Drosophila melanogaster: one gene and its partner. The protein of the gene in region 1 interacts with the protein of each later gene in a pairwise test. Each region holds a gene or a part of one and is shown on either strand. Other genes may lie near its edges. The genes, in order: CG4270 and CG10164.

Region 1 (15,017 bases):
ATGAACAACAGTAATTGTTGCTGCGAACGTTAAGTTGGAATGTCGTAAATTACACATTTGTAGCGGGTGCTTGAAAATGCAATACATCGATGGCACTAAGGATCCAGTTACGATAACGCGCCACACTAGCGTACAGAGAAGATCCCAAGCAAACAATGTTTCCCGTTCTCGATGTGATCCCCACTAGCTGGCCGTTGAAGACCAAGGGTCCACCGGAATCTCCATAACAGCCGCCTTTTCCCATTCTTCCCGCGCAGATGTCCTCATTGAACACACCGTTGCCATATTTCAATTTACACACGATCAGCGGCCGAATAAGGATTTCAACTCCCTGAAGTTGTCGTGGTCGAATTAAAAAATTTCCACGTCCCCAGCCAGTGGCTAGCGCCGAAGACGACGTGGGAGGATCCGTCTCGGCCAAGGGAATTGTTTGTATGGAATCGGAAAAACTTAAAGGACTGCTCAGTTTGAGGACAGCCACGTCGTTCTCCATGTTATGTTTATCAAATTGTGGGTGAATGATATATGCTTCCACTCCCACCACAACTCCTCCGCTATCATGCAGCGAGGATCCTGCTCGAATTGAGCGTTCACCTTCTTTAATACAGTGGGCAGCTGTTATAATTATGGTTTTACTGTAGATGGATCCGCCGCAAAAATGTTCGCCGTAGTACTGTAAGGACACCTGCCACGGAACATCAGTGATGTCCATGCTGCTTCCGCCGATGATGCGTTCAGATGGCTCCAAAAGGACAGGTACCACCGGAGAAATCAGCAAATGTACTGCCAAAAGCAAATGAAAGCACTTGGAAAACATTGTGAGCTCGGTTCTTGGTGCTTTGGAAGAACTTGCTCATTACCACAAGAAGTGCACAGCTTTTATACATTTTTGGTCTGGAGGTTATACAAAAACTGATTACTATTTCTACTAAGCAAATGAATTTTAGATTAGGTAGAATAAGGACTAGCTATTCGCTGATAACGAATATTGCACTTAAAATTACGAGATAAAAGCTTGTGTTAATTATAGTTGTGCCTTCTATTACATAAGACCCTGAAAGGTATTTTTCTATATAGCTAACTGAGTATATGAGAGTGGAAAACCATAATTGATCAAATTCAATTATGATTTTCCGCAGCAACTGGGCGCTCACAGCCCATTTAAGCATTTAATTTACAATTTTGCTATTTCAACCCGTATCCAAGGAAATTCGGTATAATATTGATATCTTGAATTGAATTGATTTGTTATTCATTAATAAATGCATTGTGCTTCCGCTGACACTGACTTGCCTGTCGGCAACAGGAAATTGCATTAATCATACGCCCCGTGGGGTGCATGGTGTTGTACTCGAAGTGCCATCACACATTTCATCCACTTCTTGGCGCCCGGAGCATCCATCAAATTAATGGAAATTCATATTCGCCCGCCAAAGAAATTTGTTTATCCAGCTAAAATGCTATCGAGTTCGTAACCCCGCCCACTCCACGCATTAGTTTATGTAGTTAGTTCTTCTGGCCGAGCGTGGCTATTACTTTTTTTTTTTGATATTTTTAATAGAATTACTTTCCAGACTTTTGAGCAGCATAGCTGAAAGTGGCCCGCGGACATGGAGCTTCAGGCAGCGAACAAAAGCAATTTAAAACGCTGACTCATAAGCGATGTGGCCGCAGAAACAAGTTTGTTTTAACATTTTATTGAATTAAACCAAGGATTCTATTTTGGTTCAGAGGCACTGGAAAAATCCAAAAATATCACAGTCTAGGCTCAAATTGTAGGATATTGCGTTTCTAAACATTTGAAACCATTTTCTCGCAGTGCAGCTTAAATTCCGAGCACGTTTCCACCACGCAGTTCGATGTTTTAAACGCTTTTCCGGCCAAAATTCACATAGAATGCAATCAGATAGTCATGCACTTGGCGCTTGGTCAAAATACCCAACGGGCCGTTATCCTTGTCAACAACTATCGCCTGTTGGGTCGAGGTGACAATGGTAATGGGGGAGTTGGGCGGGGTCAGGGAAATGGGGAGCAGATACGACTGCGCCGGGGGTAACTTAAGCTAATTTTGCCAGGCGTTCCATCGAAGGCTGCTGTTCGGCCGGCAAGTCAAGTGCCTCGCTCCAAGTGAGCATTGCACTCGCCCAATTAAGCCCGACCGGAATTCGGCCAAAATCCTCGACTTAGCTGCAGATGGGAGTTACTAGCGGGAGTGGTCATTACTCATGGTTATGGATACTAATCGGATGCACTCGGAAAATCAGTCGTTCTTGAAGCATTGCATATCTGGTTTTCTCAGATGGTTATTCATATGCAGTGCAGTCATATACGCTAACTAACTAAAATTAATTTATATAAGATATCTTTAAGTTACTTCTGAATCTAGCTCTCTTTATGTATAGCATAGAATATTTACCAGGCATAGTTTGAATTTACCCGTTTAAGCCAGCATCTCTAATCCTTGTACCTGGTATGCAAAATTTCAGTGCAGGCGGCAATTGAATGATAACACAAGCAGCAGCTGCACCGTTAAAACTAAATTGGCGAACGAGCGACCAAACGACTGCGTGTCTGCTGCTCACCACCACCCCACTGGCCATTTTCCGCTTTCCATGGAAAACCCTCGTCGAAATCTGTGGGCATTTTTGGCAGCAAATTGAAATGAAAATCTCGCCGCGGTTTTCTGGCTTTGTTCGCCGCTTGGCCAGCGAATGAAATCTGGTGGCTGGTTGATAAAGAAGCTGTGGGAATGGGGAAGTCCTGAATGTCAGGAGTGTTCCAAACAACACAAGAGGACTCTTTCACATTCAGTTTGGTAGTAAAACTTAAAAAATATTTCAGTTAAGTAAGCAATATTCATCTTTCTAGTGTTCAAGTAACCCTAACATCCTATAGATTAAATCCTTGTGAAATAGTTTGGCGGAACAGCCTCCACAATCCCCATAATAGCCCTTTTCCCGGCAGCCCAGCAATCTGCGATCTATTCATATCGTAAAATACAAATGCAACTGCGACCAAAGCACCGCAAAACTATTGCCAGCGTTGGCGATAGCGATGGCTTCCTATTCGCAGGATATATGCAGCCATTTCCGGCGCCATAGCTGCCAGCTTCCGCTTTACCTTTTACCACCACAGCACCACCCCCTTTGACACTTTGACGGTGGCGCCCAGAGCTGTCGGGAAATCCACCGTCTGGCCCCACTTCCCACTCAGCTTATCCCCACTCAATCGTCTGGCAAATGGAGGCTTGACTTTAAGCGATGCAAATTTTAATGCGCCAATGCGCAATTTATGATTATTTCATGCTCATTTTAATTTGCCCATTCAGCAGACCGCTTTAAAGTGGCGGACAAAAATGCCCGTGGTGCTCGGGTTGCAGCTGCTGGAATGAGATAGCGGCGTGTCCTCATTAATTCCATGCACGTTTTCCCGGGGAAAAGTCGGGCGGGTTGTGCCGAGGGGGGATGGATGCGAGGCCGCTAATAAAACAAAAATGGAAAACATATAAATCAGTGTCCTTGGCACGTGTCGCTGTCGTCGTCGAAGTCATTGTGCTTCCCAGGTGTAGGCCCCGTGGGTCAACCCAAAGGATCTTCGCCCCAACATCGGCGTATCCTTCGTATCCTTGGTATCCCCATTCGCATTACCACTTTTGGACTTGTGCGCTGTCACGTTGTGAATCTCACGAGGGCAAACACACGCAGAGAAATAGGGAATCCAAATCACAGCGTCGGGGAAAAGGCGACACACGGTGACACAACACGCGTGCCGCTACACTGAGAGAAATATGAAAAGAAAGCCATTAGTGTTGGGTACCTAGAATATAAGAGGAAATGATATAAATTCATATTGCATATGTGTGTTGCAATATTCCCAATTTTTATTAAGCTATTAGAGTAGAAATATTCTTAGATGATCTTCCAATTGCTGAGCTTTCTTTCAGTGCATTCCAACAGCACACATACACTCAGAGACAGGAGGGTTACCACGGGGCGTTAAGCAAAATGGAGATGCAAACGCTTCGCCCCTTCGGGGATGTCCTGAATTCCAATACGAGCCGATTTCAGCCAGTGATTGCATTATAAATTAAAATACGTCAACGCAGCGAATCAACAGCTGCGCTCCTTGCCAGGACATTCGGAAAACCCACCAGATGCAAAATCTCGCAGCATTAAGCATGGGAAATTTACTCGCGGCATTTGTCACTGTTTTCCACAGGAAAAACCTTTAAATTTGAATAATAGCCCGGCCTTTAACGCCAGTAATAAGATTCTTCTTTAGCATTTAGCATGTTTATGGTTAACAAAAGTTCAGGTGGCAATAAAATAGCAAAAGGAGAAGCGAGGAAATTGTGTAGAATTCGATGGCCTGTAATATCTGTGCGGTGCAACCATTGGCTTTTTTAATTAAACGCTGGCAAACTGTGGCAATGTGCAATGGGAGAATCTCGAAATGACAAACAGAAGAACCGAGCAGCTCACAAAGCGAGCCAATACAAATATTGTTTTCCCTGGGTTTCGGCATTTTTACGATACCTTCCCCTCAAGGTTGCCAGGATACCGGGGTGTGGGAAGGTTCAAAGTCGTAGCTACTGTTATTTGTCCGCTCATGCGGAGTATTTAATTGCATCCCAATGGAGCGCACTTGGGAAAGTGCAACGAGAATCGGTAAACAGCAGAGGAAAAGCGAAGGAAAAGCAGGGGGAAAGCCTGGAGAAAGAGTACACGAGCAAGTGGGTTGAAGTGGGTAATCGAAATTTTGCCGGGTCCTTCTTTTCAACCAGACAAAGTTGAAAGGGGGCGAAAACATGGAGGATGCAAGGGACAGGACTCTGCTTTCGCTCTCGAGGGGAACACAACTATTTGCCAGAGTAAACAAATATTTACATATGTTTGTTGAAATTTTATGCTTCGCCAAGTCCTTGCATTTCTTTGACAGTTTCTTTGTGAACTTTCAGGTTTTGACAAATTAGTTAGGGAAGAAGTCAGTCAGCTTGTCAGGTGAGTCGTGCACAAAAGGAGCCATGTCCCGATGGCATGAATTGAATAATCTAATCATCTCTCAGATTTCTCCTCCATTCAATTACCAAAGAAAACCACTTTGATCGCATCAAAAGCTTAACGAAAACCATTAGATATCACTTATTCACCTAGGACCCCTGACTCACCTCATAACTTAACTTCTCATCTGCGCAAAACTAAGCTTTGAATCCATATTCCAAGTCCACAGTTTTTGCCATTCTAGAAGGAAATTGTGAAATAAATTGAAATGCAAGGCAGGCACATAAATTATTTGCCAGTCAACAGCTGAGGCAAATAAATAAAAATGGAAATGCATTTTTTGGTCAGATCCTCAGTGCTCGGGACATGTCTCGTTGGCAAGTCCATAAAACTATCAGCAAATTTTGGTAGAATTAAAATATTTATGCATTGTACGTGTGCCACATGCTTATGTGTCCCTAGCTGCATTTTCCATTTTCCTCTGTCTTATTTCCTTCTTTTCGGGCAACGCAACAACATGATTTGTTTATTGTTTTAATAAACGTCAGCAATTTTCTTGGGCTTTTAAAGAAACATTTCGAACTGGCTGCATGTGCGTATGATTAATGTGGCAATGTCAACTGAATTCAAAAAACCCGCCTCACTCTTTCGCTGCTAACTAAATGGAAAACGCAAAAGGCAAAGGGAAAATGGAAAATGGAAACTTTCAATGCAACCAAATGCAATGCCACAATGATTTATGGCCCAACTTGAAAATGGACGATTGTTTCACTCGTTTCGGGAGTTGGCATCCCATGGAAACTGTGAAAATTGCTGGGATTTTGGGGGCGGCGAGGGCGTGTCCGCGGTGCTTATGGCCATCGCCATTTATTTAAACGTACGCGAACAGCGATTCGTGCTGCGATTTCCTCGATTGGAAAAATTGAATTATAACCATTTGATGAGCTCAATAAAAACTGGCAGCTGCCTTTGCCAATGATGGCCTTTCAAAAGGTTCGAAGTTCGGTTAAAAAAACGATGTAATTTTTGGACAGCCGTCATGAGTATTACGAGATTAAGGCTTATTATTATTTGTTCACTATGTGTGTATGGGCCACTTTTAATCCACATTTCCAGCTGATGAAAAAATCCCGAGCATATAGTGCTTAAATCCGGTGCCATTCATCTGGTTCCATCCGTCGCCACATACGACGCACTTTTCACATCCACTTTGCTCGCTGGCGGAAAATTTGCACCACCGATTGACGCGATAGCTTTTAGCCAAGTTCATTGCATCAAAAGGCAAAGCCAATAAAAAAGGCGAAACAGCGCCATTTAGCCGGAGGAAAGGCGATCTCCGTGCCACTGTAACTCGCTCAATTGAATAGACAAAGGGGGGGCATTTCGATGCGGCGCCCCTTTCAACATCCAGTCCTTGGAGCCCCTCCACTTCCCCCTGCGGAGGAGGTGGCATTCCGAACAGGCGCTCAGAAATCGCAGACAGGTGCTCGGTGCCCAGGATTCAGCCGAAAAGGATGGAGGCACAGTGACAGCGGATTGCAGGGGATCAGAGGGAGACCAATCGAGCTTTATTACACTGCGAAAAATGGTGCGAGTGTGTGCGTTCAGTTTCTTCTATTACAGCTCATTTTAAATGGGTTAAATATGAGTTTAATTTCCTAATAAAATGCCAATCTATTTATATACGTATTTTATATTAAAACCTACAATAAATCTCCCAAGTGTAGTGGTGGCTCAAAGTAGCACGCAGCTGAGTGGCAGAGTCCTGAAGTTTGGCGACGGCGGCCACCGTTAGTAATCCACTTTTTCGTCCTGCTCCTCCTCCCGCTGCCTTCCTTTGGGCCGCAAACATTTTAGCTTTTATGGCCGAAAGGCGCAAAATATGACTGCCAGCCAGACTTTGCCGGCGCACACATGCAAATGCAATTTCCAAAAAATTTTTCCGCCAAAAAGTCGTGCATGAGAATGTGGTTCGCAGAAACGAACCCAAAATTGTTCGTTGTTGTAGTTTTAAGTCGCTCGATAGCAATCCTGGCCCAAAAACAATTTTGGTAGGGCGGCGGAGATGTTCGAAAAAAAAACTTTTCGCTTTGCCATAAACCGATTTGGTAGCAAATTTTATGTCGTTTAGATGGAAAATTTCCATTTGACTGCCCTTCGCGGGGATCAAGGATTCAAGGAGTTCTCGTTGAGCTTTGTTTGCTCGATTTTTCAGTGACTTATTTCTGTTCTGTTGCATTTTATCGCTAATTGACATTACCGAGGGTCAAAGGCAACTGGAATGGCATCCGACTAATTGAATTCCAGGTGGGCGGTAAGTGGAAAAGCGGAAAAGCTATTCATTAACCTTTGGCACTTTGTTAATGGATTTAAAGAGTAAGTGATACTAAAAGGTGTGGAATGTGAAGCTTATAACATTTGAAATCGTTGGGAATACTTAAGCTTAACGACATTGGAATACGCATGCTACCAATGAAATCTGCTGGAATACAAGAATACATTTATTGGCTGCAGTTGAGATTGTTTGGCTTCAAATTCAGAATGAACTTTTTAAATTGTGCATTCATTTTTTGTGCGGTACTTACCCTATGCCAAAACATGACCAATTCGAATCAATGGGAATCGGAATTAAAGGCAGTATCCGTATGTGCAACCGAGTGCATCCGGCTCCGGATGCCGTGTGGTTGATGGAAATGCGAGCCTGTTTGCCCAGATACCAGATACGATATATCAGATACCATCTATGTATATAATGCCCGCATGCTCGAAATAAGAGTGCGAGTGTATTTATTTTGCGTATGGCGCGCACTGTACCCTCCACTCGACCAGCAATGCATAAATAAACGAAACCAAATTTGCGAAATTAATTAAATCGACAGAAAAGTAACGTGTGCGCTTTGCGTTTTACGCTTTGACTGTGGCCAGCTTACAACCCAAACAATTTGGCCACCCAGCCACTGAACCACCCAATCCCCCAGCCACCCAACCACCCAACCACACATTTTCCAACTCCGATGGCACCGAAATTGTGAATTGTGCATTGTGCGGATGACGCGACTGTGCATCGCGTTTCTGACAGAGGCCATGGAAACCTGAAATGCAGCGAGCAGGCTTAAAGTTTATTACAATATTACCAGAAATTCTACCAGCGGCTTAAATGGAGCCATTTATCCATTTCGAAAATATCTTTGTCTATAGAGCAAATGAAAATAAGAAATGGAAAAGGGAGCTCCCGATTAATTGAATTGAAATTCATCCTAATCTTTGATATTGATTGAATTATATATTACCAATTAACCAAATTGGCTTTAATCTGTATTAACATTAATACTTATTTAAATTCGCGGCTTAATAAACTATTTTATCCAGCTTTAAGCTTATGGCCGAGTACTTAAGTACTTAGTACACAAATTCACATAAATCAATGAGCTGGGCCATAATTTAGTGCCTGGCACATGAGTATATCAAACGCAATGCTGTGACCCCGCATCCACCTTGCGGCGCACAGGATAATTTCAGCGAGTCAGCCTGTCCTGCGGCTGTATCCGCCTATCTGTACATCGGAGCATCGGCTTAATCTCTGCCGGGAGCAGCGACATCGGCCGGTCCATTGATTTGCATTTGCACAACTCATTAGGGATTCACACTTGAAGCACCACCCGCAGCGCAGACACACACTCACACACTTAAATAATTTAATATTCCGAGTGTTTCGACATCGAAATTTGCACTTCCATGGGCGGCGCTGCGGGCGATTGATAAGGGGCCTCCATGTCGGCCAACTCGCATTATCCAGCTCGATTCAGTCGGCAATTAATGCCACTCCAATTGCCCGATTTGCCTGCACCTACATATCCAGCCATATGGCTGGATTGCGAAAGAATCGCCGGCTCATTAATAACCAAACCCAGTGACATGCATCACTCATACGTCACGTTGGTTAATCCCATCGGCAGATGCAGAAGAAGGATGTGTGATACAGTCTGTCTAATTCCCGTCAATGGATTTGGGCACGCACACGTCCTGTGAATCCGTCACCCACAGCCTGTGTTTGCGGTATCAATCACAATGCTAATACCGATGTTTAGGCCAGATTATGAGGCGGTTTGAAAAAAGGGTTTTTCGGCTGTAAACAAAACATTGTGATTGATGGGTGAGCTATTCAGAACTCAGTGAAAATTTTAATTGACTGCCTTGTATACATGTATAATAACCACTTAATTTTGTAACTTAAAAACGAGAAATGTTGATCTAGCCAGCTAGCTTAAAAAGTCATTAGGCATACGTAAATTTGGTTAACTAAATCACGGCGCCAGCCAATCCCCCAAAGAAATATGGCGAAGAGAAACGTAGCGCCCATTCCCAAAACCCACGAGCGCCCTCCAGGTCCCAGGGGTCAGGATACCAAGGGCAACAACGAGCTCTTCCTGAAGGAGGTCTTCAATACCACCAATAAATATCGGGCAATGCACGGCTGTCCCGCGGTGACCATTAATGCTGCACTAAATAAGCTGGCTCAGGAATGGGCCAATGTAGGATGAGGGATAAAGAGTATTCTATAGTATTTTATATTAATTTGCACCCATTTCCAGCATCTCCGCGATCAGAACACAATGGCGCACAGACCCAATCCCAAGTACGGCGAAAACATTTTCCTCTCCGGTGGAATGGATGTGACCGGTGATCTGCCGGTGGAAATGTGGTATCGGGAAATCAATAGCTACGATTTCAACAAGGCGCAGTTTGTGCCCACCGCTGGACACTTTACTCAGCTCATTTGGAAGTCGTCGGTGGAAATGGGTTCGGGTGTGGCCCGAAAGTGAGTCTTATGGCTATGGCTATGGTAATCCTATTCATACATGTCTTCCAATAGAGCGGATAGAACTTGGGTGGTTTGCAACTACAATCCTCCCGGCAATGTTGTGGGTTTGTTCAAGGATAATGTGCCGCCAAAGCAATAACTCTGGGATTTTTTGATCAAAATTTTAAGCATAATAAAAGCGTAATCTAGGTCCAGTATTTGTTTGTTTTATTTACCATTTTCTATTTTAAATTGTGATGTTTCGATTTTCTAGTTTCCTTGGCATCCAAGTCCGATTTAAGTAGAAGGAATTTTCTAGGCAGGACATTTTCCCTGAAATGTTCGCTTACATTTCCAGGCGGATGGTAATTGCACACAATCCAAATGGAGGAAACACTGCGTGTAAAATGTAGTTAGTTTCGGATTATTTTTAGTATGACTTAAAATTATGAACCCACTCGCATGCCACGCCCACTCCCAGGAACTCTGACTCTCTCCAAACCAACTGGGTAAAATGTCCAGTGTACAAATTAAAGCCTGGCTTTAAGTAATCGTAGTTGTATTTTTCTTGGTACCAGAGTTTCAGTATTTGATCCACGGAGAATTTGGATCTCCGGACACGCATAATATTCTCGCCGTAAAGAGGATTAGGTCGAGTTTCCAGTTTGTTCAGATCAGCCAAATGCTGTGGAAATCAAGTTTAGGTGAAAAAGAAAGGATCTATTTATATTAAATACATCTACATACATCTGCCCACTCCTGTGCATAGGAACAAAGTTTTTCATCCATTTTCAGGGGATTGGCGTTGTGAAGCCTTCGGTACTTATTGGTTTCCCTTAGTACAGCTTGTTTTATAGGCTTGCGTCGAATGATAGGAATTTTGTATATTTCAAATTCCTTTAACAGAGACTTCTTATCTTTTTTCAGTTTTTTCGACTGAATGGAACTTCTGGAAGATGTTTTGCACTTGGGAGCTGCGCATTGTAAACACCTTTTACCATGCGACCAATCCTTTTCTGTGTTAAGTGATCTATTTGGTGTTGATGGAAATTTGACTGGCAGTGACTTTATGGAATTTATAGATTGTGATCTCTGGACCTCGCAGGCCAGATAGTTCCGGGAATTATGGTAAATCTTAATGGGTTTACGGCAGAAGGAAGTGAGGCAGCTGCGGCACTTTTCCAAATCGCGGTTGCTTGAATCGCAACCAATAAACGTAGCGTCATTGTGCTGAATTATCTGCAAAGGACATTTCTCTGCCGACTGGACTTTATTTTCAATCTCCATTTAATTTAATATATTCATAGTAATATCGAAAATTTTGTAAGTTGGAAATTATTTTGTATATGAAGTTAAAGAGACTGGTGGCTGGTGTTGCTTTTTCCTAGACTTTTCGCTTTCACCAGCGCACGTTATCCTGGCTTTCCTTTTTTTTTATTAATATTAATTCTGTTTTTTCCCGTTTATTTTGGCGACAATTTCGCGTCACACATCATTAATTTTAAATTTCTGCCATAAATATCAACGGGGCGTGTATGAGCAGCGGGTGGTGACGGGTCACAAAGGTGTCAAGGTGAAATTATGGTAGCAGCAAGCTCCCCTCCTCTCCCCGTGACCTCTGACCTCCACCGAGTTAGCCTGCTTTTTGATTGACTGTTTGTCACTTGGGCATGAAAATTAAAATGGAATTTTTTACGCCCGGAGTTTTGGGGGAATGTTTTTTAGCGGACTGTTGATGAATTGATGGAGATAAAAATATTTATGATTCAATTTCCATGCCGTGCTTTCATTGATATTGAGTTCAGATCGTTAGGCTTTGTAATGAATACTACGTTAAATATACAAACTAATAATACTGGTAATTGGACTTTTTATTTAAATATTGTACATGACTGCTGCACTCTCTGACCGTTTGAATAATTTAATGTTGAATGTCATTAACCATACCCTTTAAAATCTCTGAGAAATCAAATTTTCGGTATTCTACCTAAACTGATTCGTAGAACCTTAACATTTTCCGACTTGCCACTTTCCGTGAGGCAGGAGCTATATTATTGAAACCCCCGTAACCGTAACCGTAACCGTTAACCCAATAAACCACTTTTAGGGGCGACAGGCGAACGGCAAGCGACTTTCGCTGTTGGCTTCAGTTTCACACCGTCAACAAGTGACAAGCACACCATCGCAAATATCCATAGACACACAGACAGATACGTATACGATACATATACGTGTTACTGGCATCACGTCAAAGTTGGTTGGCGTAATGCCACAGAAATTTCAGCAGCCTGCAACAAAAGCGAGTCAACCAAAATGGGAACGGTCAAAACAACAGCATAAAAATTGGTAAAATTTAAATTCACACACATACACACACTCGCAACAAAATCCCAGCAGGAAGAAGTGATCATAAGGCCTGCCCCAAAAAGTATACTATGAATTTTTATGGCGCTTTTTGGGTTTTTTTTAATTTCCACAAGCTGCCAAAAAAGGAAGAGGGACCCTCTGGTGTCCTGATGTACGTGATGGTTACATATATTGCGCTACTGAACCGAAGGTCCTTTTTTAATCGTGCTAGGTCGGTTAAAAAATATTCTTCTATGTAAATGATTTTAACAATTTCCCATTTTTTGTATTAAATTTCAATTTAATGTTGACCTACAATAAATATATTTAATTAGTTGCGGTTATGTTTATGAAGTTCGGGGAAAAAAGGAAAATCTATTAGACTCAAGCAACTATTAAATTTTAATTACAAAAATATATGGCATAAGATGAGTGAAATACGAATAAAGTGAAAATCCTTTTGGCTTTAATATTAAAATTTCAACACCTGAGGGAATAAGCCGCATTTACCACTTAGTTTCCGCAGCCGTCACACAGGACTCTTTGTGCCATTGTACACCTCGTCGAATGGTTAAATGCGTTCAACTGTCAAAAAGCCGCAGACAAAAGTTCAATTTAATTACCACAAAAGAAAGTGGGACAACAAAAGGTGTGCAATTTCCATGGGAAACCCAAAACTTCGGATCGCACTGTCTGCCAATAAATCCTGCCGACTGCCAATGAGTTTTACAATGTAATTAAGCAGACAGGGTAACTTATTTCTGTCCCCCCACCCCGCACTACCACATCTTCTTACCCGTTAACCAGGGGTAAATGAGGTCAGGGGGGGAGGGGGCGTGGCAGCGGGAGACGGAGGCTGTGGGGCAGGAACCGAAAGTCGAAGGGCGAAGGAAGTTCCTCTCAGTGAAAGCTTTCTTCGTTATGCATTGTAATTTGCGTGTAATTTTCAAGGCGTTGGGCGAAACGTGGAAATGCTATTGCAACAACAGCGGCAATAATAATTGCAACTGCAACAACAGCAGCAGCAACCAACAACAGCAACAACAAGAACAGAAACACCAACAAGAGCAGCTGCTTAAAGGCAAAAGTCTCATTTATTTTAATGTGTCGACGCTGACGACGTGCAAATGTCTGCCAGTTTTCCAGCAGGTTTTTCCCTTCAGTTTTTCACTTCGCCAGCGAATATCCCATGTTCAAATTGCACACAGATGCAGCGGCCATTGTTTGTCAGTGTGTGTGTGTGTGCGCTCGTATGCGTGTTGTAATTATTAAGCTGACAATGCAGATGCTGCTCTTCCCGCTGATTTGAGTTGCAGGGTTGCAGTTAAGCCGATTTTAAACCAATCCAGGCTGAAATCAAAACTGTGTTTTTTTGTCTTGGATGGAGAGAAATAAGTAAAGTTTTAAGTATAAGTATAGTTTTATATTCATAAAATAGCTCCAGATTATAATTCTTACTGAAAGAAAATTAAATTTTAAGATGATCTTGAGTTAAGTTACCAGATATAGCAATGTATTTCTTAAATATCCTTTATCTATCTAGATGTTCGTTTTAAAATCCCCTCCTGATCGCCAGCTGCATCCCTGGCCTTAGTGGCTCTGGCCTCCGCTGTGGGTCAAACCCCTCATGACTCATGGCTGACAACGGTCATAACAATACCAATTTTAATGGCCAACACAATGAGGCTCATAACCATAAAAAATGCACAGCCATACAGCGAGAGCAGGAACCAAAATGAGAACAACGCGGGGAATCATGAGCATTTATTGGGCTTATGGGCCGTATTAATAATGTTCATCTGTGCCGCTCTCTCCCAGATCATAGAAAAAATGCAAATGAATTAAATTTCAATTTCGCAGCGAAACCAGCAAATAAAAAACGATGTGTGTGCGTTTTATGGTTGAGCGAAAACAATTTGACCAATTTTGTGCAGCACAAACTGTTGATTTTTTAAACGTATATTTTAAAGGTCGTTTTAAAATGCCTAGCCTATTCTGAAGAAATTCATTAGCTTAACAGTGGATTCAATCCACACTTTGAACATCGCGATATTGGCATAGACACTAGATTTATTGAGGACGTCGCAGGCACTTTGCCAGGAAAGGATTCCATACAGCCGATTATTGGCAACCAAAGGACCGCCGACGAATCCTTGACAGGCGTAGGGAATTTCTCCCGCAGGTGCTGCGCAGATCTCGCCCACACTCATAAGTCTGCCCTTCAGAGCAAGGTTTGTCGCGCACATCAATTGATCTTGGATTTTTACATCGACTCTCAGTAAAACTTCCGACGAAGGATTCATGGCAGAGAGTTGACCCCAACCCGAAACGGAGGCATTCGTTCCCGGCACTAATGGTATGGTGGCCAAGGGAATGGCCCGAATTCCGCCGTCCAAGTACAGCGGCGATCTCAGCTGGAGTATGGCCACATCACTGGGACGCAGGCCAAGTACTTGCAGCCTCATCTTCTCGACCTTCAGCACAGTGCCACCGGCGTTTTCCTGGGCAGACCCCACTCGCACCGAGATGAATTCCAATCTGGCCTTTCTCACACACTCGGCAATGGTCAGGATGATATCTTCGCTGTATATCACTCCTCCGCAGTGATGTTTGTCGTTTATTTGAACGGAAGCCTGCCAGGGAGCTTGTTCAATGCCAATCGATTTGAAATCTGCTGCTATTTGAGCAATGGAAACTAATAGAAGAATGCCTTTGAGCAGCATTTTGAAGAAATACTTTCTACAACCACCGCGTAGAGATCACAGACTACTAACAAAATGCATTTTGCTTTATCTTATATAGAGTAATTTTGATATTTTTGTTTAGTCACGCTTTCGTTTTACATACGACTTTAGATTTACTGATTCAAA
Region 2 (16,934 bases), on another chromosome or scaffold:
CGGGTCTCCCATTCCGTCGAATTGCTCATGAAATGCGCATAAATCAAGGAGGCCACCAGCTCGTCCTGCGGCTTTGGCACTGCCTGCCCGACCGGGCTCTTAATGAAAAATGAAGCTGAAATAATCATAAAAAAAGATGGAAGGAAAACAACTTTGGGTGGCAGCCGGCAGAGCGGAAATGTAAATGCCAAGTAAACTGTGACGCTCGTCGCGTCTTATTCTTTTCGCATTTGGCAACTGAAACTTTTCCTTCACCCGGTTCCGGCTACCCAAAAACCCGTATTCCCAGCCCGGATTTTTTGTCCACACTCGGAGATGGATTCGTCTGTTGCGTTGCTTCATTATGCGCAGTGCCAGCAAAGTTTGCCGGCCCCCCTCGCACCACGATCCCTTGCTCCTGCTCCACAGGACTTTTGTTTTGCTTGGCCTGGCCCAAAGTGCTGCGCCTGCGATTATGCAGCAAAAACTTTCGGAGCCGCCATTTTGCAATGCAAAGCGCGGGCAACTCAAATTGGGTTCCTTCACAGTTATCCCGAATGACTGACGCAGCAACTGGATCCACCGTAAAAAATCCTTTCTTAAATTCGTTAAGAATCGATGTGGTACTTATGTCGAATTTATCTTTCGTTTGCTGTTGGAAGAATGTTACTAAGTGTAAATCACTTATTTAAAGCTCGTCTATTGAAAGGAATATATTTTTTTTACATAAGCTGATAGACAAATGCTGTACAACATATATACATTATATTCTTCAATTACAAACATTTAATTAATTTCTTAATTTTATTCAAGACTTGCAAAATGATCAATTTCTTTCTTGCTGTGTGCCTGATGAACCGTTGGTTGCCAGCATTTCTGCGCTGCATTTTCCAGCTAAGTTGGCTAATTCTTAAGTTGCTTAAATATGTGCAAACATAGCGCGACAAATGTAATTCGTCTCCTGGCATTGTGTCCTGCCGTGGCTCCCGAATTTCCCCCTCAACCATTCATCTACAGCCAACATCGCTGCCACTGGGTTGGCAACTTTTCTAGTTGCGGTCCCATCATATTAGAATGCAGCTCGACTCTGTGCTGAACTTTTAGCCACTGCTCCGCAGCTGCTGTGTGTGTTTTTCCGAGTTTTCCTTCATCCTTCGTCCTTCCCATCCAGGACCTTTATTCCTTTTATATTTTTTGTCTCTATCGAGGGGGCTCTGTTTGTTATTGTTGTCGCTCTTGTTGACTGCAGAAGTTATTAAAGCTGCAGCCGCACTTTATTATTGTGAAACAAAACCCGAAACAACAACAGCAGCAAGGAGCTGAGTCGCAAGTTTTGCTTGAGTGTGAGTGTGTGTATCCTGGCAAGCGCACATACTCACGCACGCATACTATCGCATTGTTTATCTTTCACATTGTTGACACAACTTTTGCAGGGTATTCCAAAATGTGTATATGTATATGTGCACATAGAGAATGCGTGCGTGTGTGAGTGGCCGGGATATCATTTGTATTATGGTAATTTAATATGCATTAGCCAATGTCAGGAACCCGGCCCAAATCGATTATTTTAGCAATTATTATAATTTCCAAACGGCGATGGGCTGGCAAATTAAATTTGCTCCTCCGGCCAGATTTCCATTTCCCCATGTGCCTGCACATATGTATATACATGTACGTATGCAAAATGTAGCCACAAGTGACCTAATAATGTCGGGGGGCACATTTGAAGGCTCCCCGTTCGTTTTGTCGATGTCAGAATGTCAACCAGCTATTTACATCTTTGTACACATGTTTGTGCCCATATGTGAATTGTGTCTGTAATAGTATTGATTTTTCATTTGACACATGGGTCGCACTTATCACTGCACAGACATCTACATCTACATATATACACACATAAATATATGTGCTTATACGGGGTGGACAGTTCAGGTGTGTTGGTTTTGGACGGAAGGCTAAAGTTACATTACCAAAAATCGCATTAAAATTCAACAGGCTAAATTATTGTTGGCACAAAGTCAAAATGTTTGACACTTAATCCAATTTAAAATACATTTTGCATTAGCGCTGGAAGCTAAATACAAAGCGGAAAGCTTTAGCATGCCACTTAATTAGGTATGAACTAAGTGGTCAGGGCGGAATTACTGGGAACTCTCAGAGGGTTTTATCTATCAGACGCACTAATTAAGTGGTTTTGAAATTAATGCATATTTCTTAAGTTATGTTTAAGAACAAAGTAATAGAAATATCGTCGTTGAACAGCTAGATAGAATTTTATACCGTTTAAGTTTACGTTACTGTAACACTTATGTTGAACTTGCCAGTCACTAAATAACAATCTGTGCGGATAAGCTAAATCAAGCGAGGCTCCTCCCCGAGGACACTTCAGCATCTGTCTTCGTTTTGAAAAATATATTAAATGCCATCTCGTGCCATAAATTCATGTGGCTTTTCTGCGGCTAAGCGTGTGGCAAGGATAAACACACACAGGCACTCGAAAAATCCCTGGTCGCTTGACAGATTAGGAGCTAGGATATCGATGACAATTGATGGCCGTACATTTTATTCGTGCAACTTTTTCGAATTTGTTTCGATCGGAACAGAGTGAGTCGTAAAAGTGTTTCATAAACTGCAGCTGCCGACCTCTAAAAAAAAAAAAAATAACATCGAATGAGGCGAATAAATAAGCTGCGCATGATTGACAATGCAAATTCATTGGGGAAATGTTTGCTGATGTTGTAAAATTTATTTCCCCCTGCACTGTACAGCTGGCAGCCCCTGACGAGTGTTTTCTTTGATGGCCTTTTCATTGAGTGCTCAACTAATAAAGTTTCGCATATGTGGACAAATATCACGTGCTGGGAATAAAATGAGTTTATGAGCGAATACAAAAAGATGGAATGATACTAAGAAACATGCAGGGGCGTTGAGGGCAACTAAAAAGTGTTTATGGTTGGCTCTTTTTTTTTATGATTCTCAAGGTTCCGGGAGTTCTTGGGTAGCAGGCTCAAACTATTATAAATAAATTATCATTTGCCTAAGCCGACACGAAGACACGTTTGATGGGGCTCATTATTCTTTCGGGCCATCATTTGCCTACCACTTTAGGGTGGGGCTTAAATTAAATCAACATCGCTGGGAAAACACCGTGAAAAATGTCCATAAAGTAAGTCGATGCGGCAAACAAAGGCCGGAACGGAACGGAGGACATTCATCGACATAAAACTTAAATTTTTAATGCCAGCCCTACACGCCCCCCTCTTTTACCAACGCCCTCAATGTGTGTCGTTTCAGGTGCAAGACACATAAAAAATAAATGAGCACAGTACAAGAAAAGCGGCGCGAAAGGAAAGCCAAACAAAAATACAAAGCTGCACGGCGTGGAAAATAAGTGGAAAGCCACGGCGTGCCACAATTGTGCGGGTAAGGGATAAAGCGGGCGGCGGGCGGTAGGCGACACAAAAGGGCGTGGACGCCCCCTGCCACATTTCCACATTTTGTCACCCAGCCGCGTAACTCGCGACAATTTTTTATGGCAAACAAATTTTGTTTTTGTTTCTCGCAGCGCCACAAACAGAAATCGAGCCAAAGGCGAAATCGTAGGGATTCTTGCCGGAAAAGGAAATGAAAAAGTACTTAATATTTCACAAAAGCTGCAGTGAAAGGCAATTTACAGAGAGTAGCGACATCGAGTGGAATATGACAGACTAATGGAAATTGAAAGGCAAATATTTAAGGAATAGCCAGCAAACAGAATTCAAATTCAATGGTATTTCCCAAAGGACTTGTGGGTTACCCACCAGAGTTCCGAATTCCGAGTAAGCTCATCAGTGCAACATCCATAAATAGTGGCCTGGTTTGGTCAGCCCACCCACATTTGTGCGGGACACGGTGAAAAATAATCTATTATTATAATAGCTTGGGGACTAGGAAAATGGCTATGAAAATTCCAAAGGGTGCTCAAAAATATTACTTCAGGGTTTTACACCTCAAATGTGTATCGATTACATGAAATATGTGGTATTTCTTCTATTTACTTCTTATGATATTTGGTAAAATATAGAAATACTCTCGCAGTGCACGTATTACCCGCGAACTGGTAGTGCCTGCATTGCCAAGGCAACTTTGTGGCTACAGCTTCTGAGCACCTCAAGGACCAAGGAATGGTAACCGCAGCTACAGACGCGACCAAACCCACGAGCGATCCTTGAACGCCCTCTTCTTCGGTGGCTTCCAGCCACGTCCCCCTTCGTCCTCCTGCCAACGCGTCAGGATATGCCGCCCCTACAAGTTGCCACCCCAGAGCACCCACAAAAGATGGCGCGTGAGCCGCGAGAGAAGTCAAAAAATTAAACGCTGTACACAAGATTTGTTGGCTGCGAATGTGGCACCCACGGGGTCTCGACATTAACCTACAGGCTCGGGCCACCAGTGCGTATGAGTGATGCGCACAAGGAGACGCCTGTCTCTGTCATGAGAAAAATAAATGTTACATGTGAGGCGAATGAACTCCAAATTGATTGGACCTCCCGTGTGTGTGTGGGTGTTTGTGCGTGTGCCTGGAGCTGTACTATAAATATTGAAATAATTAAATTGCAGTTTAATAAATTAAATGGAAGAGAGCATAAATATTTAAGCTGGCAAATGTGCGCCTGCCATCCGTATAACCTAATTATGAGAAAACCACTTAAGCTCCTTAATTGCACAAAGGCGAAAATGGACGGTTGTGACACGTGGGGAGTTCTCAAATGGGTGTGGTTAGTCGAGGGGTCTGCTAGTTTATTCACTTCTTTTCTGATTTAAGTTCAAGTCTATCTCGACTGCAGAAAGGTAATGTTCGTGAACTTTCAGACTTCCAGCAGTCGTGGTCCCAGTTTGAATCCTGTCGTATTCTCTACCGCTTCCTTTGTAGACATGACGAGAAATTTAAGGAGCAGGGAGCAGAAGCAGGAGCTATCCCTAATCCCAGGGCCATACAACTCCCTCTACGGGGATGCCGATTCGTATTGTTGACTGCGCCGGAAATTAAGCGCACCGGCAGGAGGAAGTCTGCCCTAATGTACTAAAGTGGAATAACGTGTATGCCATATCTTGAAACATGCGGATGGCAGTAAACACAGATATATATATACAGATAGACAAACAGATACAGATACGGATACTCCGATACAGTTGCGAATGCAAATGCCGTTAGTCCGACACCGACAACAAAAAAAAAAAAAGAAATATCAACAAGTCCCATGTAAATTCTACCTGACTTTTAGCTTGGCTCGAACTGGAATTGCTTTTCATTCGATCCAAACTCCAGACAGTGACATTTATTCAAACTACACGGCTGCCCTGAATTTTGCATTACGGGAAAATTCACGTCAGTTACGCTGCGATTTCGCTTATGATAACAATTTGCCCGAGGGCAAAACTTTCCGGCCGCCGCGATGCCAATCATATGAGAGAAGGCAATGCCAGCATAATTTTTTCAGCTCGGCGATAAAAACTTTCCCCAGCGAACGAGCGGAAAATAGAGAAATGGCTGGGAGGGGGTGCGGAAAAGCAAATATGAAGCTCGGAAAAACTGTTTGACGAAAAAAAAGGCGACATATAATTGGAAAACTTTCGGTAAAAGGCGATGGCGACAAGGCAAAGTGTGAAGAAATATTTAAGTTCTTGCAAGTGGCGTGAACTAAATAGAAAAAAAAATCACTAAAAAAGCTCGGTAAATGAAAAAAAAGAAGAAAACGGGGTCACTTTAGGGCGAGGGTAGTCACTTAACTATTTATGGAATTATTGAAATGTCGATTACCTTTCTCTGGCCAATCGATACCACAATCGAAAGGGTATAAGGAAAATATATTAAACCGAGAAAAGGTTAAAATACATAAAGTAATGGCTAGTGGGTGGACTGGGCACACAGATTGATAAATATAGCCGAATGCATAATTTAATTGACTTTTATGGGTGCTCCGGCAGCAGCCCCACAATTTACACCATTGTTTGTTTTTGCATATAATTTCAATTGAATTTTAATTGAAATTATGACGACTCCTAGCTCCACTGAGCCAGACTCAACTGGGCGGCACTGAGCCATTGTTTTCCTAACCGTAGTGCTTTGTTTACGCGCCCCGGCAATAATTTTGCCAATGGGCTGTGGCTCGTGGGTTGTAATACGGTGGGTGGTTGGGTGGTCCGCCCACAATGGCAACCATTTAGCATATTAGAATATGCATTGTTTGCGCCCAACTACGGCACACGCAATGTGCGACCACCCAGGAGGCTCTGTTCACGGGGGACGAGGATCGAATTCTGTTTAGGGCTCGCCAGGATGTTTCCTAATAGCCGTCACTTAAATTGGCCAGGGAATTAAATTTCCTCGTTCCCTAACCAAGTGGTTTCCAATAGCACCTATACTATTTTCATTGTATCCTTGTAGTTTGATTAAGATGAAGAAATTCTACAAGATACAGTCATGGTCAAAATTATTTTCACAAAGTGCATTTTTGTGCATGGGTCACAAACAGTTGCTTGTGCAGCAAGTGGGGGGAGGTGAAATGCAAAAAAACTTTTGCTTTTGCAAATTCAAACCTATGCAGAGTCAGATGAAAGAAGAATGGAAAAAATAACTGTTCCTATGCGCAAGGAAGAGGCAAATGAAGAGATCTTTATCAGTTGTCAGAAGTATTTGCACACGGTTTCGTCGCATCACAATTATTTTCACAACGCAATTTCTTCTTCAGTGATTGGTTTAGAGTGACAAGTGCCGGTTTGTTTGCTTAAATACATTTAAATTATTGAATAAAAATTAGATTTAATCATTTTCCTATTACAGTTATTAAATAAAATGCCCAAAACAAAAGAGTTAACAGTTGAGGCCCGGGCTGGTATTGTTGCTAGGTTTAAAGCCGGTACACCTGCGGCCAAAATAGCTGAAATATATCAAATTTCGCGTAGAACTGTCTACTACTTAATAAAAAAGTTTGATACAGTTGGCACATTAAAAAATAAAAAAAGATCAGGCCGAAAACCTGTGCTGGACCAAAGGCAATGCAGGCAAATACTTGGAGTTGTGGCGAAGAATCCTAGTGCCAGTCCGGTAAAAATTGCCTTAGAATCAAAAAATACAATTGGCAAACAAGTTAGTAGTTCTACAATTCGTCGCAGGCTAAAAGAAGCTGATTTTAAGACATACGTTGTTCGCAAAACGATTGAGATCACACCAACCAACAAAACAAAACGTCTTCGATTTGCGTTGGAATATGTTAAGAAGCCTCTTGACTTTTGGTTTAATATTTTATGGACTGATGAGTCTGCATTTCAGTACCAGGGGTCATACAGCAAGCATTTTATGCATTTGAAAAATAATCAAAAGCATTTGGCAGCCCAGCCAACCAATAGATTTGGTGGGGGCACAGTCATGTTTTGGGGATGTCTTTCCTATTATGGATTCGGAGACTTGGTACCGATAGAAGGAACTTTAAATCAGAACGGATACCTTCTTATCTTAAACAACCATGCTTTTACGTCTGGAAATAGACTTTTTCCAACTACTGAATGGATTCTTCAGCAGGACAATGCTCCATGCCATAAGGGTAGGATACCAACAAAATTTTTAAACGACCTTAATCTGGCGGTTCTTCCGTGGCCCCCCCAAAGCCCAGACCTTAATATCATTGAAAACGTTTGGGCTTTTATTAAAAACCAACGAACTATTGATAAAAATAGAAAACGAGAGGGAGCCATCATTGAAATAGCGGAGATTTGGTCCAAATTGACATTAGAATTTGCACAAACTTTGGTAAGGTCAATACCAAAAAGACTTCAAGCAGTTATTGATGCCAAAGGTGGTGTTACAAAATATTAGTATTGTATTTATATAAAATAAAGAAATTCTTATGTTGAAATTAGATGTTAAGCTGAAATTTACTAAATTAAGTTGAGTGAAAATACTTTTGAAGCGCAATAAACATGTGAAAATACTATTGACAACTTGCATGCATATTTTCTTTTGCTTTAAGCTTTGTACTATGAACCGTTATCTTTCGTATTTCTTTTCGACTACCTTCTGCATAGATCAAGCTAAGCGATAAGAACTATTTCAGGCAAATCGGACAACAACAAGAAGAAATATAACAAAAAGAAGTTGAAGTTTGCAAATATTGTGCGTTGTGAAAATACTTTTGACCACCTCTGTATGTTTTCCCAGAGCCAACGAACTGAACTTGGTAAGTGTTTATTAAAGGACTTTGCCACAAAAGGACTAATCATTGGATAATCAAAAAATGATTGAACAAGTGTTAAAAATATTTTATAGGTAATCATTTTTCTCATGTTACTGAAAGTTGCAAGACTAGCGAACATATTTCAGTAATTTAAAGTGCCACACATCCATTGTTCAACATTTGTTTTTATTAGAGTTTTCCGAACTCAGCTGCCGGTGTAGTTTTACTTTTTCCTGTCCCTTCTGCCTCGTAAGTAAGGAAAACAAATAAATAAATTTCAGTTCTGGCCAGGGCACTCACTCTCACACACACACATAGCCACATGTGGAAATGTGTGTGTGAGGTTGCCTTTCATAAATTTGATATGTATGCGAATTCCTTTCGGTTGTGTGGTTGGGGTTTTGTTTTTTGTCAAGCGAAACCCATTTCCTGGGACTCACATGCTGCCACCAGGTTTCATCTACATTTGCAATTATTTTATGCTCCGCATTTGCCATTTCGTCTTTAATTAGATTTCCTGCCCAACCCCTAGCACAAATTTGCACTTGCCTTTGATGGGGCTTTCATTAGCCCGGCCTTGCGTGCCGTTTGTCTTGCTGGACGATAATTCCACTTTGGCGAACAAGGGCTGGCCAAAAAACACTTTAAGCCCTCTTCGGCTGGCTCACATGCATTTGCTATTGGGCTCTCGGTGTCATGCTGCGACATGCACTACTCGCCACGAAAACATGCAATTTGCAATGGCCATTTGCGCGACCATCAGTCAGTGGGACGCTAGAAACTTTAATTGCCCGCACACGTTTTAGCAAGCTAAGAAAGCTCGATGGAAAACACTGAGTAAAACTCGACAAAATCGCACTCGCCGCAAATGTGTTTTCGCGCCTTAGTTTTGGCCAAACTCTGACACACGAACGTGGACCTCAGACACCGAATGCCACTCGATATAATAGCCTTTCACCACGACGACGACCGCCAAGCACGTCCTTTCGCCAGCTCGTAACGAATTCAACTGAATCGCCACGGCCAGGAACAGCTCGATTTGTTTATGAATCGTCGTGTGCGCTTCGAGCCGAGTCCTCGGAACTTATTGTTCTGGGCGGCAGAGAGAGCTTTTTAGTCCTGTGAGTGGGGCTGCGAATATCGTAAAGTTAAGAGAAAGGGCATTTCTAGTGCTCTGCCCTTCACGCTCAGTTAAGAATTAAATTCTTGGTATGATACTTACTGCTTTACTTTCAAATTTTTGCTTTGCTTTAATTTGCTTTGTTTTAAAAAAGCATTTACTCTCACAATTTTTAGGGAAATCGTAGTTTTGAGTTCAGAGTTGATTATTAAAAATATAAATTCTTTATACAATTTAAGAAAGAAATTGCATATATTTATTCGTTTTCTGCTGTAATGAGTGAGAAAGTATTAGATGGAGAACAACATTTTCGTTTTCTTATTTTTACAATATAATTTAAAGCATTGCCGTAATTGTCAGGCGCAGTGACTTTCGAAGAACCATTTTGAATATCAAAATTTGGGAACACCAGCTCCCGGAATACAGGATTGTCCATTCCTATAGCTCCACATAGATGATCTAAATTGAACAGAGTACGCCTTTCCCCAAGTAGCAGGGGCCCTATCCGTATTCCTGGTCCCATTCTAGACACAAACAAAAACATTCACAGCAGTCGAACAGACAGCCCAAAGACACTCCCACACCAGCTGTGTGTATGCGGTTTAGTTGGCCAACCGCAAAATTCTTGGCAAACAAAATAAAGAAAACTAACTTGGGCCGAAGCAGAGCAGATCCAAGCGGCAACGGAAATTGTTAACCTTTGGGGATATCAAACATTTACGATTGCGTGGCAGCGGCAGCAACATTTAAGTTTTTATCAGCACAAAATAAAGTTTTGGTTTACGGATTGTGTTCCTGTCCGCCAACGCTCCTCCTACTATCCACCACTTTTTGGCCAGAGGCAGCTACAAGTGCCCAGGAGCCAAGACAGGAGCAAAATTCAGGAGCAGAAGCTGGATCAGGGGCTGAAGGTTCGTCCCTGTTGATTCTGGGGCACGCAAAACTTTTATCCTTTTCAATTTCGTTTTTCTTCGCCGAGTACTTTTGAGGGATTTAAATTTCTGTTTGCAGCCGAGCCAACAGCGAAACAACAACCGTGGGAGTGGCAGCATCGAGTTCGTGGCGACCAGGTGAGTGTTTCTTGTTGGCCTAATCACGGCTTTGCCGACTTGGCCACAATCAAGCACAATGCGATTGGCGCTGCTAATTTGACTTGAATGATACATAAAAAGGTGTACGAAAAAAAATTAGGAGGCTTATGTGAAAATGTGATGGTAGAAAATAAGTATATTTTTGATTAAATATTTTTAACAAATAGTATTTTTTAGTCTAAAAATAATTATTTTTCAGCCGTCATGAAGAAGAAGAGTCGTAGAGATCGGACACCAAAAGTAGAACAACCTGAACCATCGAGAGTTGTCAACACGGAGCCTATTCGACTGAACGTGGAACCCCAATCCCAAGAGATAGATGACCAGGCTGCACCATTTATTTTGGTAGACTGTGCGAAATATGAGGATCGTTCAGATTTGGAAGCAATGCTTAGTTCCATAGAAAAGGAACGGATGAAAAAGGTTCAGGCAGATATAGAGCAGCAATATTTTCCCCTCCTGGAGGATGAAGAACCACCTCCAGAATTAGATATGCCTATAAACCTAAGCTCTCAAGCATTGGCTGTACTGAATGATGCAGATAATGAGCGCCGCTTTAAAGAGGATCTGGAGAGCCTTAGTATTGCTGGACTGGAAGAGAAAGATACATCCATTAGCATTACCAACATGAAAATAGAAGACAGCAAACTATTGTTTCGGACTATGCCAGGTATGAATCAGATTTGCTGCACGCTAGAGCAGATGAAAAATGTTCATGGGAAAATTGGACCAGCAGAACCAACTCCACAGGCACGTTGCACCAGCTTGATTCCACTTTCAGGCCTTCGCCGGCAAGACACCTTCGAAATTAAACGTAAAAAGAACCAAAAGATTAGATATCCCGAGGTTTCCACCAAATCAGCAATTAGCGAAAGGAAACATCTACCATTAATTGCCAAGGGAGGAAAATGTGAGAAAGTTATCTCAGAGACTGATAAGATTTTCAGCCAGATTGGCGATCTTCTCGTGAAACTGCAGCTCCAACACGAGGGCAGCAAAGTCCTGAACAAGGGATCCTCTTATTCCTACATGGTGAACATTAAGCCAGCTGGAGGTGCATCCAATTGTTCAGTTTATGCGCTTACAAAACTCAAATCGCACGAAGTAGAGGAGACGCATGCCGAAAATCTAAGAACTTCTCACGCTCCATTGATCAACATTTTATACCCTGGTCGTGGTGGACTTATGGAGACTTCTGAGTTGTCCACGACCGCACGATGTATCGATGGAAGCTCCATTGGGTCGATGTCCCTTCGCGAAACGCCGTCCTCCAAGATCAAACCATCATTTTTACGCAAAAGGCCCAGTTCCCATCTAAGGGCACCTAACCCTGTCAAATTTTGCCACGGCAGGAAGAAAAATTAGGCCGCTTGGTAACCATTCCGCAAATTATTTGTTCGAAAGCCATTTATTTTCTATCGACATTGGAATCTCCAAATAATGCTTACAAATTCATATGTTGGTCATTCAAAAGGATCTTGAATGGATATTTTATGCAAAAATATATCAGTTGCCAGAGTCTAATGAACGGTAATAATTCAACAAATGCATACAATGCGGCCATAATATAAAATATTAAGTGATACAAAACAAATATATATTTTTATAAGCCATTAATTAAAAAATAACCTACATTTTGGTTATTAATGGTCTCTTGGATTTATTTCCACTAGGGTCAATTAATAAAATTGCAAGTCTGAAACCCAGTTTAAAAGATCAATATGCTGTTTTCGATTGAATTGAATTGTACAGCGCAAACAATATTTGTTTTTTCTTTATTCATCGCAAATAAACAAGTGGTTTCAAGTGGTTTATTTATTTGCCATTTTAAATTCATCACAAAATGCACAATAATTATATAGATGTTATCGGCATTCACATTTTCAATTACCCTCGTATTTTAATTTATTGTGTTGTAATTAAAGCGATTTAATCATATTCAATCGCCAGAGTCCTCCAATCAAAACTCGTGCACCTTTCTGGAGTGCTTCCCTGCATAAAAGTTGCATCTTGTCCACTTCCTGGAGGAGTTGTCTAATTGCATGGCCACGCACTTTCATTGCTCATTTCCGAGTTGCCCTCAAGTGCGTGGTTGCAGCTCATTTTGTTCGGTTTGCACAATTGTGGCCAAAGTGTTTTCAACTTTCTTCTGTCAATGCGCCCGGAGGTCGAATCCGAAGTCCGTGCCTCACCCGAAAATCCCCTCTTTCGGTTTGGGTTTGGTGAAATGTCGGCCAAGTGCTGGGCTTGGCTTGTGCCAGTTGGCAGACGTCCTGCTGCAGGACCTTAAAAACCTGCCTGCCTCCTGTCATTTGTCGTTGGCCAGAAATTGCAAGATTGACTACTGGGCTGCAGAGGGTGAACAAGTGGGTGGGCACAAAAGTTTTCATTAGTTTTAATTAAATCCCAAACAGCATTTCCATGCTGCACTCTTTCGCTCGCTCGTTCTCTGAGGCGTGTGCTCTTTCGAGCCTTTGTCAATGAGTTTTCCCAACAAAACCGAATTAAAAACACATCAAAATTAATGACACTCCGCCCCGGGATGGCCAGGAGCCGGGAGCTGGTCAAAAGGAAGTTGCCATTGCCTCCACTGCCACTCGAAGTGCGGACAGCATTTGTGCAATTTATTTAGCCGGCTTTTTGCGGCGCTTCTGGATGCGCGCATGTTGCTAAATAAATTTCATGATTTACTGCAGCCATACGGGAAACGCGGACAAGAAGACAAAAAAAAAAAATGCCAGTTGCCAGTGGCCACAATGTTTATATAGTTGTCGAGTGGGCGTGGCGCATCGACGGGTGCGAGAGGCGGGGACGTATGCCATGAGCCGAGGCTACATGAAATTTGCAATTAGATTTGGCGAAAAAGGCAGCCGCAACATCCGCCCGGCGTCCCAGTTCCACTTGCAACCAGCAACCAACTTCGTTGTCGGTTCGGTCCGGACGAAATATTTAATGCGGAAAGTTTAATCGCAATAGCAACGGCAGCTGCAGCGTCGCATTTCCGGCATTTGTTGGTTTTTAGACTGCATTTCCCGCATTCAGATGGCAGTTGCAACGCAGGACATGGACATCGCAGCGACTCATGGTTGACATCATTAAATTTGATGTCCGGCATTTACTGGTCACCGCCTCTTGTCTTCGGGGGCATCCAGGATGCCGGGTCATCGGGATGACAGAATGCGGACGCACTTTCACTGCGGCCAGCCTTTGAGTGGCCAAGAAATTAAATAAATTTTTGATTAGTCCGGAGCCACATGTATATGTATTCCACACTGCTTTTTAGTGCAGAGATTTCCCTGGGATTTAGGTGCGCTCAGCGAGTGGTGGCTTAATTTTCTGGTGACCGCTTTGAAAGTGGGCTGATTAGCTTGGTAACTGAAGTTGCACTGGGTTAGTCGGAGCTAATGGAAACAGAATGGTGTCATTATTAAAGTAGAAGATTTTTCATTTTTGTAGAGAAAAGGAAGCCTGTAACAGTCAAAATTTCATCAAGTTTGCAATTAAGAAAGTGCAGCATCGACACTCAAATTTCGGTGAAGTGATAATCGGAACATGTTTTTCGCTGTCCTCAGCATCTCTAATTAGCTTTCAGCTAATTTGCAAAAAACCCCCGAGCGTGGGAAATGAAAGCCAAATAAATGTTGCACACAATTAGAATGCACAACAATAATTACATAATAAATTCGCCAACGCAACTGGAATGGCAACTGCAACTGCAGCTGTCTCAGCGGCATTCAGTGTCTTCCGGCGGCAGCTGCCACGAAATGTAAATGAAAATAAGTGGCAGGACGCCTTCTTCGTCCTGTATACTTCGCTCTTGTTGGCGACCGCGTTTACAAATGCCTTCGACTAGTTGAGCACTTGATCAGCGGAGAAGTTGGCTGAGGGAGCGGGAGCATGAGCTTCCTTCATCCATTTTACTCCGCATGTGGGCGACGGCGAGATTAATAAAATTTATTATCATTGCGATAGTGGCAAAACAAACTGAACGCCCCACACATCCCCCAAGTATTTATGTGCTAAAACCAGCTGGGAGAACATATCAAAATGAAGTAAAATTCATTTTACAACATTCAGACTGAGCTGAGTGAGCACTGAAACTGTAGCTCTCGAATGCAAACCGAAATTGCAAATGCTTCTGGGCTGCCATCGAGCTGAGGGCTCAGTGCTGAGAGCTCAGTGCCGGGAGATCCTCCAGTCCTCCAGTGCTCCAGCCCATCCGCCATCCCCACTCCATCTGCTCCATTGAGGAGGGGCAGAAAGGAGGAGCGCCGCAGGAGCAAAACGGAAGTTCGACGCCCAAGTGGCAGTCGCGATAATAGCGCCCTGCCATGTGCGCTAAAGTATTAGCATATACACAGGCGCACACGAACCGAGTGCTAGAAGAAAAACTTTTGACTGCAGCGCCGCTATCAGGAGACACATAAATATGAAAACGCAAGCGGGGCTTGAGAAATGCACTCGCAGAAACCCATGCCGGGGCGATAAATACACCACAAGCATATTTATATTTACTGCAAGCCAAATAAAATGGTTCTACTTATGGCTGAGGGGCAAGTAAATGGTTTGGTTAGACTTGGAAACAAGTTAAGATTTAAATGGGTCAAATGGACTGTTAATCTAAGTCTTACACTATTATAGACTACCAGCATAAATACTTTAATTTAATAGATGAGCTAATATAAAAAGGAAATATTATTTAAATATATTTACGTTCAGTTTTTCATTCAGGGTGTACACATTTTTGAATGTGAAACAACAAAGTATTGTATATGGGCAGTTTATAGTCATTAAGTATTTTAAGATATTATTTTTATTAATTTTTTTTATTTTTGACAACTGAGTTAAATAACTAAGAGACTTCTTGCAGTGCCGTTGAAAGGGTAACCAGGCTAGTGGCGACTTCCTAGGCAGATATATGGAGTGTAAAAGTGTCATTGCCACGCCCAGCGGCCATTACCCACCGCCCACAGCACGCTGGCAATGGAACTGCAACAGAGTGGAATTTGAATATTATTGTCACCCACACACACAACGCACAACCAAACACCAGAGCAAACACACCCAACACACCCCAAAGACCCAGTGGGCCATGGAGCAGGCACGAACACAGGTTTACTTGGACAGACCTCGACCTGGAGACCAGAAAGGAGATAGAAGCAGGACCAGGACCACAACTGGAACCCAGTATTTAATACTGTTTGTGTAAAATAATAGCTAGGCCCCCCAGAGAGTGAGCTAGAGCGAGCGAGGTGCGGCTAGTGTGCGACAGAGAAGCGAGAAATGCGCCCCTGGCGGTGCCGTAAATTCAAATTAAGTCGCCCAACTTGCTGACAGTTAAAATCTTGGTAACAAAAATGTGCAGAGGAGCCCACAGGAGAGATCAGCACTGCACTGGGCCACACTGCGTATGAGTGTTCCTGGGCTCTAGTGCTGCCTTCCTCGCTGTGTGTGAGTGTGCATATCGACCCTCTTGACACGTGTGTGTGTGTGTGTGTGTGCATGTTAGTTACCAGTTTGTTGAGCATCACACGCAGTTGGTTTTGAATTTATTGCCGCAAAATGCAGCAGCGAAAGGTATTCCCCAGAAGTGCAGATGGATTAAGTGAGCTTCATATACATATATGTATATCTACACACATACTGCATCCCACCCTAAGTGCGGGTGTGATTGCGTTTCATTTTAATTAAATACTTTGCCAAGCTCCCGCAAAATGTCAAGGCCTTCGGCTCGTGTTCACCTTGCTCTTCATCAGAACCTCCTCATCTCCACTCACCTGGAATGGCGAAGGCCCCAGCAGTGTGGTCAACTTTCATTGCCGCAATTTGGGGTCATCATCGAAATCAATAAACGCTACCAAAGTGCTTCAAAGTGCGATTTTAAGACTTGGGGAAAGAGAGAAATGGCCAAGCACTTCCCAGCACCAGACATAGTTGAAAGATTTCCCACCGTCCGGCAAAGTTTGTCTGACCAGGTCAGGGAATTGTGGTCTGAATTATGGGCAAGAGGAAAGAGGGAGGTGCAAAGGAGTGATTTCATCGCTGCTTCGATAGCCTAGTGGCAATTCCGCTGACACTCAAATGAAAATATATTGGAAAATCTGAAAGCAAGTAAAACACTTTATAATTAATACACTAAATAAATTTTTACAAAACGAATGTGCTTCAGTCTCTTTCCCAGTAGTGGTGAAATATTCAATGTGACAGAGCTGGTTAAATAATAGGTATATAGCCGTGGGTGTCTGCTCACCGGGGGTATCAAGTTGAACGTTTTATTGGACGCTTAAGTTTTACAATCAATTCCAGAGCTTATTGCCCGCTACAACCGAGCGCTTAATAATAAAACTCAATTTCATTTTGCTCCTCTTTGTGCCTCGTCTTACTCAGAGGCTCGTCCGGAAATTTGAAGCCAATTAAAAATGCATTCAACGGCAGCGCCAGGAAATAAGCGGCAAAAGAAAAATGAAAAGACAAATTGACAGGCGGTCGCTGGGGGAGTGGGGGCGTGGCATGCCCAGGACACTCGACAGC

What was found.
Region 2: the proteins of CG4270 (region 1) and CG10164 interact in a two-hybrid assay, tested with the Drosophila melanogaster proteins (2 studies listed by BioGRID).

What each region holds. Positions count from the first base shown.
Region 1 is NT_033779.5:2,254,224-2,269,240, forward strand, and holds CG4270 (uncharacterized protein), read left to right. Parts: upstream 1-9,218; 5' UTR 9,219-9,334; coding exon 9,335-9,532; intron 9,533-9,592; coding exon 9,593-9,819; coding exon of another isoform or gene 9,820-9,823; exon of another isoform or gene 9,824-9,862; intron 9,863-9,873; coding exon 9,874-9,961; 3' UTR 9,962-10,018; downstream 10,019-15,017. Other genes in the region: Send1 (spermathecal endopeptidase 1), read right to left, coding at 50-817; CG34049 (uncharacterized protein), read right to left, coding at 10,044-10,197, 10,260-10,486, 10,549-11,088; CG17242 (uncharacterized protein), read right to left, coding at 14,133-14,870.
Region 2 is NT_033777.3:23,549,681-23,566,614, reverse strand, and holds CG10164 (uncharacterized protein), read left to right. Parts: upstream 1-9,671; 5' UTR 9,672-10,382; intron 10,383-10,602; 5' UTR 10,603-10,607; coding exon 10,608-11,768; 3' UTR 11,769-12,292; downstream 12,293-16,934.